Arabidopsis thaliana: one gene and its partner. The protein of the gene in region 2 interacts with the protein of the main gene of each other region in a pairwise test. Each region holds a gene or a part of one and is shown on either strand. Other genes may lie near its edges.

Region 1 (7,464 bases), on a different chromosome or scaffold from region 2:
AAAACCAGATTCACCGTTTCCTCCATAACCAAACTTCACATTCTCGTTACTCACAGCATTGTTTCCTCCTCCAGGAGCACCCCAATTGACTCCTGAATTTCCAAATGGACCACTAAGTGTGTTGTTCCCACTTGATGATCCTCCCATATATGTATTGGAGTTTGAGTTTGTATTATTGTTGTTATAGTTAAGACCACCATTGTTTCCCCATAAGTTCCGTGTAACCGAACTGAAGAAGGATGAGTTTCCTCCTCCGTTGCCCCCTTCATAGCCAACCGCAGGACCAAACCTGTTTGTGTTACCAATGTAGTACGGGCTCATTCCTCGGCCATAGTCAACATTTCCATTGTAATTTGTACCTCCCGTGAACCCTGTGGGCAATCCCTGATCAAAGTTCACATTCATCCCGTATCCAGAACTGTAATTTGCAAACCCGCTTCTTCCAGCACCAACCGGACTGAACCGACCATCCATCCTAAGTCCGTAGCCTCCAACTGCAGCGGGATTAAACCCTTGAGCATACCCATTAAGGAGGTTATTGACCCTATTAACTCCATAGCTGTAACCTGCACCAAGAGGACTGCGACTTGGACCTGGAGATAACTCCTTTGGAACAGCTCGCTTAACCTCAACCATTTTACCATTTAGTTCATGGAATGTCTTGAGCAATACCTTTTCAACCGCCTCCTCGGAATCGTAGGTTATAAACCCGAAACCTCTAGGCCTTTGTGTGTTGTGATCATACATGACAACCACATCCGTAGTTGTACCAAACTGCTCAAAATACGTCTTGAAATCACTCTCTGTAACCGAAGAAGGTAATCCTCCAACAAATATCTTCCTTGTGCGACCTGGACCACCGGGAGAACCTTGGATGCTACTGCTGTTGCTTCTATTTACCATGTTTTGGTCATCTCTGGGAACAGCTTTCTTGGCTTCAACCTGCGGAAGATCAAACAACTTGAAAAATGAAAAACTAAGCTCATATAACTAAAGATCACTCATTTCTTCTCAAAAATCCAATCAAAGCACAAAAATGATTAATCGGAACCAAATGAGAACAAACTGTAACTCTTGAAGGCTTGATTGCATAAGGAAGCTTCGAAAACAAGTTACATTGTACAAAAACGAAAGGCAGAGAACAGTGAACATACCAATCTGCCATCAATATTATGTTTTTCGGTGATAACAATCTCAGCAACAGCAGGATCAGCAAAAACAACAAAACCGAAACCACGAGCACGACCAGTGGTACGATCTTTCAAGATGACAGCTTCGATCACTTCTCCAAAACTGCTGAAATACTCCTTGAGACGTTCCTCATTGGTGTCCCAAGATATCCCACCGATGAAAAGCTTTCCATTATCCGATTGCATTTTGCTCTGCACACACACACAAAGGAATCGGATCAAAGTTAATTAGCTTTTGCTTGAATCAGAGATGTCAATGGATTATCAAAATCTGATCAAAAGGAAACATCTTTACAAAGACAAAAACGTAAAATCAAATTCAGATTGAATCTAGAAAACAACAGATCCGAGAATCTGCCAGGAGAGTTTGATCGGGAAAACATAAAACGGATTTAGCAAAAAAAAAAACCAATCAGGGGAAATCTGAGATCAGAAGAAGAAGAATAAAAAAAAACCCACCAAGAAGAATAAAACCCAGATGCCGAATCTCGTAGAGAAAAGAGTTAAGATCTGAGGATAGGCACGATTTGAATAGATGGCATAATTTTAACCTGCCCCTTCCCCAGAAGAAGAAGAAGAAGAAAATGAAAGAAGATTGGAATCAATCAGAGAGAAAAGTAGAGGAAGAATTATTATTAATACAGTTTTTGTTCAATCCGATTCAAACCGATTTAACCCAATTTCAATGGCGTCAATAAAAACATACTCACGACGCGCAGTAACGCGCTCTAGAGATATAGAAAAAGAGAGAAAGAAAGAAGTTTTGGTAGAGAGATAGAAAGACAAAGGCTTTTTGGGTGTGCAAGAAGAAGAAGATATGTCTGTATTTATATATTTATACTCATTATTACATAATTGGTTTGTTTCTTTTTTTTCTCTTTTTCAATACTAAACTTTTTATACGTTTTCCCTTCCATTTATTACACGGAAATTTTACTTTTGTCATAACAAAAAAATATTAATATATTGGAATGTTTAGATGTTTCTTTTTGCGGAATTTTTAGTTTGTATCTTAAAGAAGAATTATATAGAAAGTAATTACTAATTAGGATGGTGCCACTAAAAGTTTTTTAAAAAGAAGTAATTAAAAATAAATTTGCAATTAAGGATGTCTTATTCACAGAATTTTTAAAGCAAAACTGAGAGTTGTTGTTGTTTGGATAATTTAGGCTTGTTGTGTACGTTTGGTTTAGTTTTAACCTACTGGTGTACATTTTATCTATGTTTGAATTTTGATCAAATTGATTTAACTTGTAATAACCTGGCGATGAAAATGTATTCTAGTTCGGTTTTAGGAATACAACGAGCTACGATTGTACATTAATTGAGGTGATCGGAAAAAACATTTCAACAATTTGTAGCTTTAGACATGAAGGTGTGCAACTACATACGAAAAATTAAATAAAAATTGCAACTACGAAAAAGCAATGAACGTGTATGTATTGGAACACTTGAAGAAGGTTGTGAACATGTTCATCTCAGGGCCAAAAAAAGCCTCAGGGTTTTGGGTTTAAGCCCACATTCAAAAGCACACACACAAAATGATGGGTTTGTAGGATAAAAACCCAAGTGAGAAAGTTGTTTTCTCGAATATTACGAATTTACGACTTTCTAATTTAAACAATAATTCTAAAAAACATTAGTGGAATATATGACCAAAAACCAGTACCATTTTATGTGGATATATTTTTTAAAAATATTTATCATTCTCTTAAATAATGTGTTTGCAAAGCCTAAACACACATGTTTAAAAATTTCATATGATCTATACATTAAGGAAATTAATTAAAAAAAATAAGCCAATAGAAAATCAGTTTTTTTTTTTTTAAATTCCGTTTATAGTGTTCCGCTTTATGAAAAGAGAGAGGTAAAATAAAAAGATTCGCTCTAAAAAACTGTTTCCCTCCAAAGATGTAATTTTTTTGAAAAAACCTCCCATTCAAAATTTCAAACCCTTATCTTTGACAAATCTTCTCCAGCAATTTTCTTCCTTGTTCAACTTCTGGATGTCCGCGTATATATATCTTCAACAAGCTATTCACCATCGCTACCTAAAACCACAAGCAAATTGAACCCTTCTCCCTTTTTTCATCTACAAACCATCTTTTCTTCTCAAGTCTCTGCCATGGCGACTCTCAAAGCTTCCTTTTTGATCAAAACCCTCGACAGTGACGTCACCGGAGATTTTCTCTCCGATCTGGAACGTCGTGGGTCAGGTGCTGTTCATGTTATCATGGGTCCTATGTTTTCTGGGAAATCGACCTCTCTCCTTCGCCGAATCAAGTCAGAGATCAGCGACGGAAGGTACAGTTTATTTTCTATCTCCGTAGATTTTAATTGTTAGATCTATCTCCGTAAATTTCTTAATTTCGTGTTTTGGTTAAGCAGAAGTGTTGCGATGCTGAAATCGAGTAAGGATACGAGATACGCAAAAGATTCGGTGGTGACACATGATGGAATTGGATTCCCTTGCTGGGCTCTTCCAGATCTCATGTCATTTCCTGAGAAATTCGGACTAGATGCTTATAACAAGGTAATAAATTCGATGCTCTATTTGGTGTTTCGGGTCTTAATTGTGAAGGATCTGTATTGAATTTGTGTTTTTCTCTTAAAATGATTGGCAGCTTGATGTGATTGGTATTGATGAGGCTCAGTTCTTTGGAGATCTTTATGAGTTTTGCTGCAAAGTCGCTGATGATGATGGTAAAATTGTGATCGTTGCTGGCCTAGATGGTGACTATTTAAGGTGCTTCATCCTAGTACCAAAGCTGTGATTTTGATATTTTACTTCAATGTTTAACAATTTTGTTGACTGTAAAATGTGGAATTGATCTCTCTATGTGCAGGAGGAGTTTTGGGGCTGTACTTGACATTATACCAATAGCTGATTCTGTGACTAAGCTAACTGCAAGGTGTGAGGTCTGTGGACATAAAGCTTTCTTCACTTTAAGAAAGAATTGTGACACCAGAACTGAGCTTATTGGTGGAGCTGATGTCTATATGCCTGTTTGTCGCAAGCATTACATCACTAATCATATTGTTATTAAAGCCTCTAAGAAAGTCTTGGAAGATTCTGACAAGGCTAGAGCTGAATCCTGTGTTGCTGCTACAATCTAACTATAAATGATATGGAACAAGCAACATATGTTATGGTGAAGTTTTCTTTCTTTTTTGGTTGTTTGGTTTCTTTACTGGTCTGGTTTATCCTTAATGTTGTCTTTGAAATACACTTGTGATGTTCATTGTATATAAATATAAGTTTGATGCTTTCTCTACAGCCTCTGGTCCATGTTTCATACTCTTCATTTTCCAAGACCACTTAGTTTTTCGAGTTGGACTTACAATGTTGCGTATGAGAGGTTGTTTTGTGACAGAAGCATTTCTTTCATCAGATCCTGGATTTGATACTTGTGGATTCGCATTCTTCCATTGTTGCATTGCTCTGGTTTAAGAAGCACTGTTTTCTTGATCCACCTTCATCACTGAAAGGTATCTCTAGGGAGCAAACTATTGATGCTAGAGGTGTCTCCACTGTTGTGAATCTCGAATCACTCTTTGGACCGAGACCATAGATCTTGACATCTACGTCTACTTCATGCTGCTGTGAATATTGAAACTCTTGTTGCAGTCGGTTCTGTCTCCAGATCTTAATGTAAGGATACATAAACATTAATGATTAATTAACATCCAAGCAATTCCAAACTCTGAGGGAAACCTGAGATTGAAGAGAGAACAATCTCGAGGATGACACCTCTTAAAAAGCATGAATCACACAAAAGGAACTAAAATATAGAGAATCTACAGATAAAGCTTAAACACCAAATTTTACACTTGAGGATATTGTGCTGATGTTGTAATATTGAAGTGCGTAGCCTGGGAGCTAAGAGAAAAGAGAAGATGTGGAAGTCAAAATTACAAATGCGAAGATAGATAGCATTCCATTTAAAATCTGTCATATCAGTAATTGGTACAAGAAGAAGTAACTTTGTTGCCTATGTGAGCACCAAAGCATTCAACAACAGATAACCATAACATTGGCACCATCAAGGCGACCTTGTCTCTGAGCTGGTCCCATCTTTGCCAAATCTTGAAATACTTCTCACACTCTTAGGAGTCACAGCACCAGGACTTGCTCCACGAGGACTTGCTCCACGATAACTTGCACGAAGGCTCTCATCAACAGTAGAAGATGATTTAGCTATTGCCTTTCTGAAAAACTTCTGAGCAGCGGGTGAAAGAGTCCTAACATTCGGACTTGCACTTCCACTTCGATGAGGAGATGGCAACGGAGGTTTCTTAAACATACTATTCGATCTCTCTCTAAGTTTTCGCGATGCATCCCTTGATAATGAATGTGCCCTTACATCTCTAGGAGGTGCAGATGGAATGTTATAGTGCGGTCCATCAGCACTACCACCAATATCAATAGGTGTATCCTCAAGATCTAATCGCATTGGTGTCCCATCAATCTCACCCCATGTTATAAAGGGTGATTCATCAAGACCTGGAGCAGGAGAAGGCGTTCTAACAAAACTATACCCATTGTCTGCCCTCTTATCTGATTCCACATAGAAAGGATTCGGTGTTTTCCTTAGATCATCAAGATCATACCTTTTAGACTTGTCTCTGTCCCTACCTGAGATATGCATCGGGGAAGAACCTGCGATTGGAGTGTAGAGAATCTCAACAGAACCATCTTCTCTTGGCCTAGAATCCATAGTCTTACCATGAAAACGAGTGTTCCCTTTAACTATCTCCTTAGTCAATCCAAGTAATCTCACTGCCCTTTCCGCCTCAGTTAAAGGCGCCTCACCCCGATCAGCTGGATGGTACATCAGAAGATTCTTCGCCGTATATTTCCATCCTTCTAAAGTACTCGGTGGCTGATCAGATGTACCATACCCATCTGTAATCCTATCTCTCTTCACATCCTCAATAGATTTACCATCCTCCTTTTCACCTTCAAGGAGAAAGCCATACTTCTCCTTCTTCTTCCTATTTACCTTCTCAAGAATCTTCGAAAAGCTCTCGTTATCCTCACTAGTATATCTCCTAAAGAACTCATCTAGGGACAAATTAAGATCTATATCTTCATCTCCATCACCAGCATCTACTTCAACACCATGAAATTCTCTACCAGATACTCCAGGAGTTCTAGGGGTTTTACCATCAAATTCATCTAAAGGAGTGAAATTTCTCAGAAAAGTAGATCCAGGAGTTTGAGTTTTACCCTCGGTATCTCCAACATGATGATTCGCCTTCTTTCCACGCCTCTCGATAATCTTCAACTGGGCATCTCGGATTTGAATCGGGTCACGGGTTTTCACCGCTTGGATCCAATCGAGCCGATCCCTAAGCTTAGTTATATCTGGAAAGTAATCACGCTCGATGATCTTCTCGATTGCTTCAACATAAGCGTCCTCATCGAGAACTCTCATCCGTTTTCTAGGGTTTCGAGGAATGATCTCCGAGGAAGAACTGCGAGGCGTTGATCGGAGGGTATCATCGGAATAAGAAGACGGCGATGGAGAAGAAATCTGACGAGGAGAATGACCAGGTGAAAGAAACATCTTGAATCAGAAGAACGCGAATTCAAAAAGCACGAATGGAATTTGGAGCCGATGAATTTTGTCGAGAATTCGGACACTAGGGTTTGTTTTTGGGTAGACAGGAAAACAAAACGATGGTCGATGATTGCATCGGCGATGATATAATATTCCTTATCAATCCGATTATACGCGTTTTGTTTCCAGAATATTACATTATTTCCCCAAACGTTTTGATTCCTTTTGCTTTATACCCCGTAAGAAATCAAATCGTTATTATAACCCAAACATGAGGACGTTATTGCAAATAACTACTCTGTAATATCCATTTGGGCAAAATATTTTCTTTTTAAAGTCGGTGGCGATGTTCTTTGGCTCTCATGTTGGCTCAAATATAAACTATTTAAGGTAACATGGATCTCCCTCCATTAGCGAAATCCACAATTCTCTAAATCCGAGTGAATAAGTATCGAGATTTTGGCAACACTCTGTGTCAAAGCTTGCATAACATTATGGCCCAACATAGACGATCATGTGCAAAATTTGAATACAAAGACCACAATACTTCACACACAAATCCAACCTTAATTGATTCGGATTTTTTTTTTAATACAAACAAAGAGAGACAATACAAACATCTAAGGATTGGATCTGAAAGGATTTCGCTGGTTTGATCTTGGATCTACCCTTGGCGACGATGCATTGTATCCATGCAGCATTTCTCTGAT
Region 2 (8,340 bases):
TTGTTATGAAATCATGTGCACGCGTGATCCACAATGGTGTTTACCCGGATCCGTCAAGATCACAGCAACAAACTTCTGTCCCGCAAATTACAGCAAAACCACAGACCTTTGGTGCAACCCACCACAGAAACACTTTGATCTCTCCTTAGCAATGTTTCTCAAGATTGCCAAGTACAAAGCCGGGGTTGTCCCAGTTAGATACAGACGTATTCCTTGTAGCAAAACTGGTGGTGTCAAGTTTGAAACCAAAGGAAACCCTTATTTCTTAATGGTCTTGATATACAACGTAGGAGGAGCTGGAGATATTAAGTACGTGCAAGTTAAAGGAAACAAGACCGGGTGGATAACAATGAAAAAGAACTGGGGGCAGAATTGGACCACTATTACAGTATTGACCGGCCAAGGTTTATCGTTCAGGGTTACAACGAGTGATGGGATTACAAAAGATTTTTGGAATGTGATGCCAAAAAATTGGGGGTTTGGACAGACTTTTGATGGTAGGATTAACTTTTAGGAGAATGATTTGAGTTTTATTATATGTGTCTTACACATAAGTTATGTAATACGTACTTGCAATAATTAAAAATAAAGAAGATACTATTTATCCATAAAAAATTAGGATGTATCCACAATCTATATTTATACTATTATCTTTCACTTCTACATGTAACCTCTTTTAAAAATCGTATGTTGTTTGTGGTTTGGAGGCATAGGAAAATTGGTCGCCTCCAAGGGGAACCGGCTGACTTTTGATGGAAAGATCAACTTTTAGGAGAACTATTTGAGTTTTTTTACTTTTTAGGATAAGAAGGAATACAATTAAAATGAATTAACAGATGTATTGGGTTCAATAACTAAAAATAAATGAGATATGCTTTATTATGTGTAGTTGATGGAGTGAAGTTTTTTACTTCTATGTTTCCATCTTTTTATTTTTTTGCCATGGAATCAATTTACAGATTTGTTTTGTGAACCTAATTGTTTAAAATAAAACATTTTTAGATTTTTTTCTATGTATAACATGATTTAAAATTTTGAAATCTCATACAAATTATTTAAAATAGTGAATAATATTTGGCTAAAACACAAATATAAAATAAAACTAAATAGTATAGAACGAACATTAGACTAACAAAGGATCGAGTTAAACCGATCCGATCCCAAAAAAAACTATACCCTATGCGATATAACATTGGCAACCCAAGCAAGCAAGGTAAATCATAGTAGTGATGTTGACGGTAAAGGTGGTGGTGGTGGTGACGGTAATGATGGTGGTGATGATGACAATGGTAGTGATGGCACTAACGGTGAAGTTGACGGTAGTGGTTGCGGCGATACAGTTGTGGCAGTGATAAATGATGATGGTGAGTTGATGGTAGATGTGATGGTGTAAAAATATATGGGATAGTTATAATAAGAGTTGGAGTTGCAGAAAAACAAAATTAAGAATTGGAAGAGGAAGAGCGTGTGTTATGTGTATTGCCTTGTACGTAGTTTTTGAGGTGTTAGTTTCCAAATTATTAAATTTATTTAGATTATAGTTGCAAATTTCCCTAATCTTAATTCGAGTTTATACTTGTAATGTGTAATGGATTTCTAATAGAGTTCCTTTCTTTTGTACTTAGTCCATTGGACTTTTAAAGAAATGAAATGGCCTACAAGAAAAGAAAAGAACATTGCTAACATTTATAATTGGATATGTCATTAAATTAGAAGTCAAAAGGATTAAAGGAACATGAGACTTCTTTACTCATTCTACATTTCATACCTTGTTTTACAACTTATTATCATCATACCATGAATTCAAAATATATACAGGTGATGGCAATATCATCACTTCTTAGGATTGCAGATTTTGACTACATAAAATTCAATACAATTACTAATTTATCATGTTCACTAAGTAAATATATGCACATTTGGAATGATTTAAAAAAATATTACAAATAACCAGTAAAAAGAAATGGGACTATCACTTCACATTTCATGACTTTTAACTACCTATAAACATCTTACCATTTTATCCAAAATACAAAGATGGCTATGTTATCAATTCAGATTGACTACAAAAAATTTCAATACATTTGGAAAGATTTTAAAAGATATGACTATAGTCAAATATATGTCTACTTATATATACCCACTCATGTTGTTCATTTATTCCCATCAATCAAAGCTAAAAGTAAAACAAAATCATCAAAGAGGGATAATAATCATGAAATTGCTAGAAAAAATGACATATGTAGAATGTTTTATGATAATAATGGCGACATGGTTCATGTTCATAAGTTACAGTCATGGAGCCAATGTAGCTGCAGCACCTGGAACCAACGGACTTGATACTGCTTGGTATGATGCGCGAGCCGCATATTATGGTGATATCCATGGTGGAGGCACTGAACGTAAGTTAAAATTACTAATATGTTGTCGAATCTAATTATTACATTGATGTTTTGTTTCAAAATGTATATAAGCTGCGATTGTTTTAAATATAAATAAACAATTAAATCCATAATAGTTACATACTAACTTTTTATTATTATACATTCAGTAGAAGGAGCTTGTGGATACGGTGATCTAAACAAACATGGATATGGTCTAGCCACAGCAGCATTGAGCACGGCGCTCTTCAACAGCGGGGCCTCATGTGGGGCTTGTTACGAGATCATGTGCTCTCCTAATCCACAAGGATGTTTGTCCGGATCTATCAAGATCACAGCAACAGATTTATGTCCACCAGGATCCGCTTGGTGCTACCTACCAAATAAACACTTTGATCTCTCCTTACCAATGTTCATCAAGATCGCTCAGGTCAAAGCCAAGATGGTCCCGGTTAGATACAGACGTGTTCCCTGTGCGAAAACCGGTGGTGTCAAGTTTGAAGTTAAAGGAAACCCTAATATCTTAACGATCTTGCCGTACAATGTAGGAGGAGCAGGAGATATTATAGCCGTGTCTGCTAAGGGAAGCAAAACCGCGTGGGTAGTAATGAGCAGATATTGGGGACAAAATTGGACTACTAATGTTAATCTAACCGGTCAAAGTGTATCATTAAGGGTTACAACGAGTGATGGGATTACAAAGGATTTTACTGATGTGATGCCAGCAAGTTGGGGATTTGGGCAGACTTTTGATGGAAAGACTAACTTTTAAGAAAAATGATATGAATTTTTTTTAGTTTTGGCTTACAAGTTACAACTAAGAGAGATGTATTGGTTGCAATAATTAAAAATAAATGAAATATTGTTTATGATACTTTTAGTTCTTGGCTTCCTGCATTTGGTTTCAATCTAAAGATTTAACCAGAACTAGAGATGGACCATGAAACTACATGAACCGAACCAACCCAAAACAGTTGAACAAAATTGAACCGATATTTGTTTATAAACTGTTTGGTTATTATGTTAACCAAATATTCTAAATTTCCTTAAATATTACTTATAAATTATATATCTTCTGAAAATAGATATGACCATACTAAATAATAAATAATAAATAAATAACTGTTTGATTATTTTCTATAAATTTTTATTATCAAAAGTTGAACCGTGCCAACCGAAATTGCATCAAACCGATCTGAAACCATACCGAAGTACAAATGGTTTTACATGTGTTATCACTTTTTACAAAACCGAAAAAAATTGAGAAAAGAAAAACAAAATTCGATCTGAATCCAAACCCCTAAACCGGAATGTCCACCCCTAACCAAAACATTGAAAAGAAGTGCAAAAATGTGTGTTCTGTTTTGAGTTCTTTTGACATGGCGTTTCAATATCTAGTTTGGTTGAAATTATTCAGTTTCTTATATCCAATTTTCGTTATAAACAAAAAAAAAATCGAATTACAGCAAATGATCAAACAAAAGCTATATAGTTAAAGAGAGAAAAAACAAATCAAACTCGTATTAAAGAAAATGACCAAAAGTTGTGAAAGATTAGTTCTTGAGCAAAATGATGATTATGTATAGAGTTCCAAACCTGAGAAAGAGCTTTAATAGGATCATAAGCTTGTTTTCACTTCCAATCAAGCATATCTAGAAGCCACAAAACCTCTTCTTTAGTGTCAGCAACATCATTGAAATCCAACTGAATCCCGAAAACATCGAGTAACCCATCATCATTCATATCCTCAACATCCATAAACAGCAAAGAGATCCAAGCTCGTATACCGGAGATAAAAGGATAACAAGGAGACAAGTCAAGATACTCAAACGCAAGCGCTCTATACGATGACCGGTCTATATAATCGAACACAGACCGGTTGATTATCCGAGCGACCTTATCAGAATCATTCCTCGCCACAAGAACAGAGACACTAACAGACTGGTTTAACGGAATAGTGAACCTAGGCTCAGCAGGAACAACCATCTTGTAATCAGGTCTACCAAGATGAGTTCTAAGAACATTACTGATCCCTAACGGTAACGTTTCGATACCATTTTCCAACGCAACACCGGGTATTAACCCCGAGAACACGAGCCTCTCTTCCGACCAAATATCGATGAAAAACTCCAAGTTTTCGAACGACAATCGCGGAGGAGGAAGCGCGCGGTTTAACCGCCGCTTACTAAACGTTTGATACATTTTGTAGTATGTTTCAGTAGGAGGTTTGTGCCGTTTGCAAACCGATGGCCATTTCTTTGCACATTGACATTTCCAGTAGAAATCGTCTCTTGCGATATCTCTCCATTGTTTGCAAACACCCATACATGACGCGAGATCTTCGCCTTCTAGCAATGGAAACACATTCTTCAATACTTCTTCACTAAACATTCTTCAACAACTACTGAAATCAAAATTGAGATCACAAATGCTTCAATTTCAATAACCGATCAATTACGATAACCGGAACATCGAAAAATAACAAATCAAAACTGAAATCGATCAAATTCTATTGAATTCGAGACGATTAAGATAATTCTACAGGGAAAATTCGAAAGATCGAAAGAGGAAACGATCATCGTCGTCAAAACTAATCAGAACGATGAAGATTATGTAGATCGACGATATGGGAAATGAACTAACCTTTGAAACATGATCTGGAGTTGAAATCTGGATCGGATTAAGTATGATTTTACGAGGAAATTGAAGAAAGTTTCATTTGATCGATTAGGATTTTGGTAGGCTGTAAAAAAAGAAACATTATGAAAACTAAAAAGATTTAATCTGATAAATGAAATAAGAAATTAAATTGGTAATGTAAAAAGGCCTTAGCCCATATAGAAGCCCAATTAAATATTTAGTCGAGTAACACGAAAATAATTTAGACACTAAAAAACAAAATGGAGACCTCAACGGCCCGGCCCAAAGCCCATTAGACTATGAGCCTTCTCTCATCAATTTAAGAAGCTTAATGCTAGTTGACTTTGCTAAAATATATAGATTTGCTTCATAAAAAGTGGATGAATTTTCTTATAAGAAGCCATTATCAAAAAGAAACAAAAATTATATTCGAATCTTAGTTTCTTGAGGTAAATAAGAAAAGAAATTTTTTTGATGTTAATGAAATATTTCAAAACATCTTTAGGGATGAACCCAAGAATTGTTCGCAAAATTAACCCTAATCTTCCACAAAACTTATTTTAATATTACACACTTTTAATTTAAGAATGACGTTATCACTTAACTCAAATATGTTATTGATTATGCCGTATTTTTTTGTTTGGAGTATGACAATTTGTGAGGACATATATATTGAGTTGAATAAAACGAAATGATAAACGTGAAAGAGGACAAATAAGTGACGAGCATGGGAGACAAGAGCAAAGAGGTCAGATTGTGGGATCAGTAGTCACACTCTTCACTGACTTGTGTTTTAGTATCAGGATACCTTATTTCCCCACACACAAAAAAACTCTATACTTCTTTTTTCCTTCTCTTTGTGTTTTTTCTTTTTATAAGAAAACATAGGGAATAAAGCGAAAGGAACAAGAAAACTACATCACATGGAAAGTAGATATTTTCAGGGAAAAAAAAGTGGATGATTTGACGTGAATTTTGAGTCTTTTCTTCATACGATACTTCTTAATATATAGAAAAGAAAATGATTTTTATAGATAGGCAACACTTACATACGATACTTCTTAATATATAGAAAAGAAAATGATTTTTATAGATAGGCAACACTTACATGTAATTAAACTATATGGGGTTTATGTTTTATTAAATTGTAATTTGAAAATCTGATCATTAATGACTGGTCTATAGTGGTAGGGTGTAGGGTGTAGTGTAGTACCAGTAGTTAGCTCAACTTTTAGGGGAAAAAGATTGCACTCTTCTGATTTTGTGTATTTGAGTTTGATTCCTACTGTATGATGGTTCCTTGTTCCGGTTATAAAAACAATTTGGTATTTGAATACTCGATACTAATTAAACAAAAATATCTGCAGTCCAAAAATGAGATTTTTTATTCACTAAGAATTATGGTGATTGTTAGTTTAAATGTCATTTATTAAAACTAGAATTTGTTCACACAATAATTTACGTAATTATGTGTGATTTTTTTTTTTTTTTTTTTTTGAGTAAGAGTATGTTGGTTGGAAAAATAAAAAAGATAAAAGAAATATTTATTATTTTTAAGTAATACAAGATGCAATAATTTGTTTAAAGTGTTGTTTTTTATTTACTTAAAAACTATTGTGGCTCATCAGCCCAAAAAAATGTGCAAAAAAGTAATACAAAATTAAAGAACGTAAGAATGTAGAAAACAATATTAAATATAATAGACTACACTGAATTTCTCTTTGAAATAGTCGCATGCCCCTCAATTTAATCTATGTTAAAGCTTCAAGTTAAAACTTTGTTTGCTTGGATTCATGGTCGATTATTCTGATATCTAAAGCTAGAAGATACTTGAAAAAAAAAAAATCGAATGTATACTGAAATCGAATAGGTTGTGGTCTTTTCTTATTGACTTTGTTAATTACTGAAATGTAATTTGGTTTATTAGTTGATGTTATCAGGTTTTACTAATAATATAGATATTTATGGATAGGATAATGATAGTTCTAATTATAAGACAATCTATCATTACTAAACAAACTCATGTATGTACCTCATTCATAACATCTATGTGGTCGACTACAAAAAAATGAAAATGTGCCTTAAACATTCTAATTAATTAATTTGGATTTTTTGGATTTTTTTCAAATACATGGAAACATATATAACAAAACCAATCAGTTTGACCTTAAAGTAGATAAGTTTTGTTAATTTAATATCCTCTGTTCTTTTTATTTGATGTTTTAGGAAACATGTTTGTTTGAACATAGAAAAATTTCCAGGTTCACACCGCAGTCCAGGAAATAAAAACAAAGAGCTGAGATTTGGAGAAGTTTCAATCCTATCGAATGCTTACTCTGTTTTAAGTGAGAAAGGAGACTATGACGATGTTATTTCAACGACAGATACGAGAGATGTTGGTGTAATCTCATCAAAAGAAGTTTCAATAGGGACACAGCCGGCCACATCAGAGATGTTGTTGCGCGAGTCTTTGCCCCGTGTATCTAAAACAGCTCACAAAGTGATATCAGTTCCTTCTACTCAATCAACTAGGATTCCTCCTAAAGATCAGAGTAAAAGAAACAAATCCAAAAATCGTTAATGTCTGGGTTCTTCTGGAATGTGCGAGGTCTTAACAAATCATCAAAACATTCTGTTATTAAGAAGTGGATAGAGGAAAATAACTTTCAGTTTGGTTGCTTGGTTGAAACGAGAGTAAAGGAGAGTAAGGTTTCGCAGCTTGTTGGTAAGCTTTTCAAGGATTGGTCGATTCTCACTAACTATGAGCACAATAGACGGGGTCGTATTTGGGTTCTATGGCGTAAGAATGTGCGACTTAGTCCTATTTATAAGAGTTGTCAATTGCTGACTTGTTCGGTGAAGCTAGAAGATCGACAGGATGAATTTTTCTGTTCCTTTGTCTATGCTTCAAACTACGTGGAGGAGCGAAAAGTTTTATGGTCAGAACTGAAGGATCATTATGATTCTCCCATCATCAGACACAAACCGTGGACTCTGTTAGGTGATTTTAATGAGACGCTTGATATAGCAGAACACTCACAATCTTTTGTTCACCCTATGGTAACTCCAGGAATGCGAGATTTCCAACAGGTGATCAATTATTGCTCTTTAACAGATATGGCAGCTCAGGGGCCACTATTCACATGGTGTAACAAGAGGGAGCATGGTCTCATCATGAAGAAACTCGACAGGGTATTGATTAATGATTGTTGGAACCAAACTTTTTCTCAATCTTATAGTGTTTTTGAAGCAGGAGGTTGCTCAGATCATTTGAGATGTAGAATCAGTTTAAATAGTGAAGCAGGCAACAAAGTCCAGG

What was found.
Region 1: the proteins of AT5G39250 (region 2) and TK1a interact in a two-hybrid assay, tested with the Arabidopsis thaliana proteins (one large-scale study listed by BioGRID).

The regions. Positions count from the first base shown.
Region 1 is NC_003074.8:2,486,787-2,494,250, reverse strand, and holds TK1a (Thymidine kinase), read left to right. Parts: upstream 1-3,070; 5' UTR 3,071-3,315; coding exon 3,316-3,494; intron 3,495-3,578; coding exon 3,579-3,723; intron 3,724-3,814; coding exon 3,815-3,936; intron 3,937-4,036; coding exon 4,037-4,307; 3' UTR 4,308-4,864; downstream 4,865-7,464. Other genes in the region: AT3G07810 (RNA-binding (RRM/RBD/RNP motifs) family protein), read right to left, coding at 1-942, 1,155-1,376; AT3G07790 (DGCR14-like protein), read right to left, coding at 5,234-6,760; OBE1 (potyvirus VPg interacting protein (DUF1423)), read right to left, coding at 7,375-7,464. UniProt on the Arabidopsis thaliana protein: Part of the salvage pathway for purine and pyrimidine deoxyribonucleotide synthesis. Phosphorylates preferentially purines over pyrimidines.
Region 2 is NC_003076.8:15,721,292-15,729,631, reverse strand, and holds AT5G39250 (F-box family protein), read right to left. Parts: upstream 5,156-8,340; 5' UTR 5,025-5,155; intron 4,786-5,024; 5' UTR 4,773-4,785; coding exon 4,014-4,772; 3' UTR 3,978-4,013; exon of another isoform or gene 3,154-3,977; coding exon of another isoform or gene 2,552-3,153; 3' UTR 2,426-2,551; downstream 1-2,425. Other genes in the region: EXPA22 (expansin A22), read left to right, coding at 1-514; EXPA21 (expansin A21), read left to right, coding at 2,216-2,402, 2,552-3,153.